Bombyx mori: one gene and its partner. The protein of the gene in region 1 interacts with the protein of each later gene in a pairwise test. Links are inferred from orthologs where the notes say so. Each region holds a gene or a part of one and is shown in the gene's direction. Other genes may lie near its edges.

The links.
Region 2: the proteins of Cna (region 1) and protein sarah interact in binary tests that used the Caenorhabditis elegans proteins (3 or more experiments, as listed by UniProt). The link is inferred for Bombyx mori from reciprocal best matches to the Caenorhabditis elegans genes tax-6 and rcan-1.

The regions. Positions count from the first base shown.
Region 1 is NC_085116.1:8,360,725-8,364,890, forward strand, and holds the start of Cna (calcineurin A), read left to right. Parts: upstream 1-1,355; 5' UTR 1,356-1,548; coding exon 1,549-3,036; 3' UTR 3,037-4,166. UniProt on the Caenorhabditis elegans protein: Calcium-dependent, calmodulin-stimulated protein phosphatase. Dephosphorylates arrd-17. Dephosphorylates daf-16 at 'Ser-319' which regulates daf-16 nuclear translocation. Dephosphorylates calcium permeable cation channel pkd-2 at 'Ser-534'.
Region 2 is NC_085129.1:7,376,901-7,380,929, forward strand, and holds protein sarah, read left to right. Parts: upstream 1-1,176; 5' UTR 1,177-1,751; coding exon 1,752-2,423; 3' UTR 2,424-3,830; downstream 3,831-4,029. UniProt on the Caenorhabditis elegans protein: Inhibits tax-6/calcineurin A phosphatase activity and thereby negatively regulates calcineurin-mediated functions.

The DNA.
Region 1 (4,166 bases):
CGGAAATACGACACGGAAATCTTTCCCAACATCTAGTGAGATGTCTTCTTTCTATTTTTATTTATTTGCTTCGATATTAGACTTGTATCACACTAGCTCTTTAGAGTTTAGAAGCGCATTAGTTGCGCAGACCTCGGTTCTTTTCGAATTCACCAATATTCACCACAGTATTTTGCTATGGTAGCTATCTACACCAAAGACTTTCCTAATCTCTTTTAATAGTTAATAAAACCAACAGTCAACGATGTAATTAGTGTTTTGTAAATGTGTTTTTTACTTTTTCTTAAGAGTTTTTATTGCTTATATGAATGGATGAGCTCATAGCCTACCTTGTGTGAAGTGGTTACCAGAGCCCACAGACATCAACGTAAATGCCGCCCCCACCTTGAGACATGATTTACAAATCTCAGTTATTATAATACAAAGGCGGTTCGTCCCTTACCAAAATGCATTACTGCTTCACGGCAGAAATGGACAGATTCGTGGTACCTTATCGGGTGATGGTTATGGAGTGTCTTCAGATGGCGAGGCCACGCGGTGACCAAACAAGCTGATTCTGGTCTACTCAACCTAAAACGGCATTGACGCTACTATCCAATTACGTCATCGTTATAGGATTATTTATTTAAACTGACAAGCTCGCGGCTTACTTAATTTTCAGTGGTTACCGGAACAGTTAGAAATCACAATGTGAATGCCGCCACCTATCTTAAGATATGAGAAGAAGAGGGTTCAGTTGTAATAGTGCAATGTATATTACTTTAAACTCGTAGTGAATTTCAGTTTATGAAAAGTGAAGTGTTTTGGTTCGTTGTATTACATTTAGTCGAAAATTCTATGAATAGGTACATAGAATAGCTATGTGTTTGAATGGAAAACCTTACTATGTAATAATTACGAATATCTTTACTATCTTTTTTTATGTGTGTTAATATGTATATAAAAATGAATAAATTCATAAATTTAAAATTATGGTAATACACTAAATAAATAATATATATTCTCATTGGGACGGGGATTTAAATTTGCCGCCGTGCTGTAATAGACACACTCGTTCACACCCAATTTTGTAAGGACCTAACAAACGAGAAAACGCAAAACATTTTCAATTCTACATTAATTTTCCTAGCTTTAAAAACATTTTTTTTATTATTTTGGAGTTCAACTGTATTACTTTATTCTGATATGTCTTTTTCTTGCGTTTTACAATAAATTAATTTTAAATTTTTCTTCCGAAATATGATAATGGGCCATTTTAGGCGTTAGAGTCTAAAATTTTTGTTATAATTATTATGAATTTCACTATCTGGCAACAGAATCATTAAATTTCCAGTGTTACTATAAAATGATATTTTCAAAAGTAATAAAACGCGCTCGATATCCCTGTTTATTTTATTGACCACTCGCCAGATGTTTGCGCATTGTTTTCCAGTGCGCAGTAGTTGCTCTGTCGTGAAATCGGGATTCTGTTTTAGTATTATATCTATTCTGCCATTTTGAAAATAGTGGCGTGTATGGATTAGACCTAGTGTTTTTTATGTGACAAATATGTCCGGGAGCAATGATAAAGTGTCGACTACGCAGCGTATGATTCAAAGTGTCGCTTTCCCTCCCAGCCACAAGCTCACAGTATCGGAAGTGTTCGATGAAAAAACTGGAAAGCCACTACCAGATGTATTGAAGCAACATTTTATCCTAGAAGGTCGGATCGAAGAAAATGCGGCCTTACGGATTATTCAAGATGGTGCCACCTTATTACGATCAGAAAAAACTATGATCGAGATCGATTCACCGGTGACTGTGTGTGGAGACGTCCATGGGCAATTTTATGATTTGATGAAATTGTTCGAGGTTGGAGGTTCTCCCTCTTGTACTAAGTATTTATTCTTAGGTGATTATGTCGACCGAGGTTATTTCAGTATAGAATGTGTTCTCTATCTTTGGGCTTTAAAATTATGCTATCCGAAGACATTATTCCTATTACGCGGCAACCACGAATGCAGACACTTGACAGAATATTTCACTTTCAAACAAGAATGTAAAATCAAATATTCAGAGAAGGTGTATGATGCGTGCATGGACGCATTCGATTGCTTGCCCCTGGCTGCTCTTATGAACCAACAGTTCCTCTGCGTTCATGGAGGTCTTTCTCCTGAAATCAACAGCTTAGATGATATCCGTAAACTAGATAGATTCAAAGAGCCACCTGCATTTGGAGCCATGTGTGACCTGCTGTGGTCTGATCCTCTTGAAGATTTTGGCAATGAAAAAAATGCAGAACATTTCTCGCATAACTCCGTTAGGGGTTGCTCATATTTCTATAGCTATGCAGCCTGCTGTGATTTTCTCCAAAGAAACAATTTACTTTCTATCATCCGTGCTCATGAAGCTCAAGATGCTGGCTACCGAATGTATCGTAAAAGCCAAACAACTGGCTTTCCCAGTCTGATAACTATCTTCTCAGCACCAAACTATTTGGATGTCTATAACAATAAGGCTGCTGTATTAAAATATGAAAACAATGTGATGAACATACGCCAATTCAACTGTTCTCCACATCCATATTGGCTACCCAACTTCATGGATGTTTTTACTTGGTCTCTTCCATTTGTAGGTGAAAAAGTTACAGAGATGCTGGTCAATGTTCTGAACATTTGTTCTGATGATGAATTGATGTCAGAAGGAGATGATGCATTGGAGGAAGCTAATCTCAGAAAAGAAGTCATTCGCAATAAAATCCGTGCAATTGGAAAGATGGCTCATGTATTCTCTGTTCTTCGTGAGGAAAGTGAATCTGTTTTGCAATTGAAGGGCTTAACTCCTACTGGTGCTTTACCCCTGGGAGCACTTTCTGGTGGCAAGACATCTTTAAAAAATGCTTTGCAAGGTTTCTCACCTAACCATAAGATAACCTCTTTTGCTGAAGCCAAGGGGTTAGATGCCATCAATGAGCGCATGCCACCAAGGCGGGATGGTCAACGCACTCCTGATACCCAAGAAAAGAAACCGCATGTGAACAGCAATGCTCATTCGTGAAGTGCTACCTTTTATTTCTCTTCGATCCTCACTTTTATTCCACATTTACAGTGGCATGGTGAAATATGTGAAGAAGACTCAGCTTTTGGAATGATATTTCACATTATAATAACTAGGTGGATTTGAAGGGAATTGTCTTAATAATAAATACAAAAATATTTTTAAATTTGGATTTAACTTTTTTTCAATAGTTGAAATTAAAACTTCTCATAAGATATTACCTCTCGATATTTAAATATGTCAGATCTGCAGGCAACAAATTTATTTAGTCAATTAAATATTAAGGTATGCACTTTTATTTAAATATTGCGCTGCACTGTTTAATTTTTTTGGTAATGTAATTTTAAATTTTCATATGAAAAGACATGATATTGTAATGTAAATTAATTCAGATTGTCTACTTATACTCTACATTGTTATCTACTTTAGTGAAAATTAGACATGTCTAAAATTTTCAAAGCATAATTAGCTGTGATATTAAGCAATGATCAATGTATTATTTAATAGCAGTCTGCTAGAGAGGTACAAGCATGTTCATTGGCTAATCATGCATTGAAATCATAAAAGTGGAAGTGTTTTCAGCTTGGGCGTGTCTTTATATTCTATTAAGTAATACTATAATTATGTACTATAGTGTGCAGCACATTGTGTGTTGTTGCCATACGTGTGTGCTGTGTAAATATGCCTTGTGCGTACACACACGTAATTGCAGCTTTAACACTTTGAATAAATATTACTCTCTTAAATATCTTTGCTACAAGTTGTACTTAATTGTATTTAATTGTACAAAATATATTAAAATTATTACCTATAAACTATTACTACTTAAATTTAATTTATATTGGGTGTATGCTGGCCCCTCGTTGCCTGCATGCAGCTGAACTTGTATGCTGGAACATCACATATAAAAGATTATTAGCCATAATGTTTCGGCATATAAGGTGTAGTGGCTAGTCTAATCGCAGATTTTCTTACAGCTTCTTTTTCCAAATTTCACTTACAAATAATGTGGTTTCATACATGTGCACTGTTGGAAAATCTCTTTTGGTCTGCCAAACAAATAAACCTAATGATGCAATATGTTCAAATTGTGAATACTAAAGTGGCTTACATAATTTTCAAGTTCAATA
Region 2 (4,029 bases), on another chromosome or scaffold:
CAACTACTCAGAAAATATTTCCATATCAGCTATTACTTTATAATGAGTATCGATGATTTTTTTCTTTTTGATACAAAAAACCATTTCGAGGAATAGGTTGCTGTTAATGAATATATTATAATATGAGCCAAAAGAAATAAAGTTGATTTATTAAAGATTGTAATCATTTGAGGTGAAACTAACTGAAACGACATGAGATGAGAGATGAAAGATTATGAACACAACCAAATGTTACTAAAAAAGGTTCAGTTTTTTTTTTCCTACTTATGCTGATAGCCTTGAGTGAGAGCCTATTTCAGCTTCGCCCTAACGTGTAGGTGAGCTCAGGGGGCTCAAATCGGAGTGTTGCTAACACTGGCCCTAGCAAGAGCAGTGTTTCGCAGAACCTACTACCGCATCGGAAGCGCGACCTACTGAGCAGATCCGACGAGAAACTCAGTGGGCTGTGTCTGTGGGTTAATTCGCTCGTCGAGCCCTTTGTCGCAGGGGACGGGTTCGACGAGGACGATGACCGATGCTTGTGGTACCATTCAGTCTACAAGATCGGGTATGTAATTTCCAGCGGCCACGACAAGAGGGTTCCCGTGTCATGCAGCCTTCTCAAAGTGGCGCAATGATGCCGACTCTAGATATTTACTGACTAAGTCGAGCTCCAGGTCATAATGGAGATCCACGTTCCTTACCATGGTGCTCCGACGGCTATCCTGCAAAACGGGATTGAATAACCTGAAGGGATTTGAAGTTGGTGCGGGCCGCGTGAGCGAACACTACACTTGCATACGTCATGGCGGGGCATATGCAAGTTTTGTAGAGAGATTCAGTAAAATGGTGGTTATATACTATGACTTTTTGGACTTGTTTCATTTTTCATACTTGTGCACTTTCACAGATACTAAGCTACCTTTTATTCTAAAAAGGATGTCATTGTCCTCATAAACTACACTGACATTGTTTCACAGCCACGTGGACGAAACCGCGGCTAACGGCTAGTAATTTCTATCACTATTTTATTAATTGTATAGCTAATGTTTCCGTTACTGAAGTACAATATCTCTGATAACATGTTTCGATTATTGTACACCGCATTAATAAATAAGTCATAAAAGTGTTCAAAACTACCTATAGATAATAATACACATAAACTAGTAGACTACCGTCATTTTATATTAGCAGTGTCTTTAGGTTGTCAATAAGATCATAATGTCCTATTATTTTGGCAGAGAATGCAAGGAGCGAAGCTATGTTAATTTTGCTTTATTTTGGACACCGATGAATATTGTGACTTTGAGAACAAATTCGAGAAAGAGAGAAATATAAGAAGCCGAGAATAGCCTCTTGACATGGCTTCTACCTGTCCTTGTGAAACTGGAATGGCCTTCGGGCCACCAGTAAGCCCTCAATCATAAAAAAAGGCTTCTCCTAATATAGTAAGTTTTAGTAAGCTCTCGCTTTTTACTGTGGCTTATTATTGAAGGTTGAAGAATTTGAATAGCTAACATTAGACTAAAATACTGAATAGCTAATGGTCGTTCAGTACGGTACTTTAAACTAAAAAGCGATTTCAATCTTCAGTTTTATAAAATATGTGTATTATCTATGTTCAATCGATAGCTGTCAAATACCATAAATACAGTCAAATTGAAAAATTCATTAAATAAAATATCCTAAGCGCTAACAGTAGAATTGTTAATGGTATTACTGTATATAAATATTCAGATACTGTTATATACGTTACACAGTAGCGGGGAAACATGGCACACCAAGAAGACTACGATCTATTTCCCGAAGAAAACGTTTACATAAATCCAGAAGATGGAATGCCTAATATTCATCCTAATATAGTTAATTTTGAACAAGAAAGTGATACTCAAGATGAAGTCGACAACTTTGATGACCTACCTAAATCTGTTATTGTAACAAACATTAATAGCATCGTTTTTTCTGATGAAAAATTGAAAAAAGAGATGGAAGACTTATTCCGTACATTTTCGGAAAATGTAACGTTTCAGTGGCTCCGCAGTTTCAAAAGATTACGCGTTAATTATGACAACCCCTTAGCTGCCGCAAATGCACGAATTCAATTACATCAATACCAATTTTATGATTCATGCATAAATTGCTATTTTGCCCAACCTGTGACACCAATTTCATTTAAGAATCTCAGACCCCCGGCGCCTGTTAAGCAATTTTTGATTTCACCTCCATCAAGTCCTCCAGTTGGCTGGGAGCCTCGAGAAGAAGGTGAACCCATTGTGAATCATGACCTTTTAGCGGCACTTGCAAGTTTATCTCCTGGTGAAAGTCGAGAGCTACACGCACCCACACCAACACAACCAGCCATTGTAGTGCACACTGCAATATCAGAGGTTTCTCCTCCGCCTGGTGCAAAAAAAATTCCTCACACTCGTTGTCCAGAATACTGATAAAATGCCTTATGAATTAATAATGTTGACATAAAATAGAATTTTAATGCTTTTATAAAAAACTCATGTCATGTTTGTGATGTGTAAAGCCAAAGATGTTAATTTATTTAGCTGAAAAATAGCCATCATGGAAAAGGCATAGTTGTATATGATAGTCAACTCAACTCACCAATGATAAACTACTTAATTTGTTATAGATTTGCATACTTTTATTAATTAATCATATTGTAAATTCAATTGAAGTTGGATTGGTGCTACATTCTATTAAAGGGTAATCATAAAAATTGTTTTACAAACATTTTATGGTTTAATAAGAAATTTAATCTGAATAGTTCCAGACAGAAGGAAAACCAATTGTGCGATAGAATTTTAAATTATAAATATTGTTAAAGTAATAGTTTAGTAAGCTAAAAGCCTGCAGTTATGACTATAGTTCAAAACATATCAGTCATTGAAGCATATTAATGAAAATACAAAAGATTGCTTTCTTGAGCTTACAAAAAATATGAACATATATCTTTTTTATCTTACATATTATTTTGTTACTATTTGCTGTAGTTTATTTTATTTGCAATATGAACATCATTTAATATTGTTTGGGCTTGTTAATAATGTTTTCAGTTTGTGGGTATACTTGATTCAAAGAAAAAAAAAAGTATTGTCACATTTCTTATAATGTTCCTGATACATTTAACTGAAAATTTTCATCAGTTTAGTTTCAGATAAAATAAAAAAGTGCTATGGGACCCAAAATTCTTGGGAGGAACTGTTTGTTTTTGAAGAGGTTTCTATATCTACTCATTCTCACCTTATATATTTAATTTTAACAAAAAAAAAGAACTTTTTACTTACTTATTGGCTTCTTTGACGTTATTAATATTATTTGCAAATACTATTAGTGATAATATAGTAATATTATGTTAATAAAAGATGTTCTTTAAAAATAACCAACATTTTTGTTAATTTTTTTTAAGAAACTTATAAATTCGAATTTATTTTTGCAGCTGTTGAAAATTACTAGTTAGATAAGTGTTATAAAAATTTAGACATAGTTAAAAAGTTTTGTGATAAAACAAAGTGACACAAAGTTTTGTAAATAATAAAATTATTTTTGAGATTTTCGAATATTTTAAGTACAGATAAAATGCAGTAGTAAAAAAAGGTTTGTTGACTTTTACTAGGAAGCATAATTTATCTGGTTGTCTAAATTAAACTCCACTGGTTGTCTAATTGAATGGAACATATAATATGTTCATTTTTGTGGTGGTGTGTTTATTTAATGTAAAAGTAAAGATTTTTTTTTATCAAGAATTCTAATAAAATTAATGAAAATACAAAATAAACCAAACATAACATAGGTATCTATGTTTTTGCTGAATTATATGAACATTATTAGAAAACATAAAAGAGTTTTTGATTAGCAGATTTTTTGATTTGCTCTCAACTGACCAAATAAAAGTAAATAAGCTCTTAATAATTGTAAATTAATTTGTAACTGGAAAAAATGTGTTCATCCCCATGCACATAAAAGAATTTTTTTCATATTTTTTTAAGAACAATTTATGGTTGACTACTAAATAGCAAATTTATCATGTACCTAAATAGT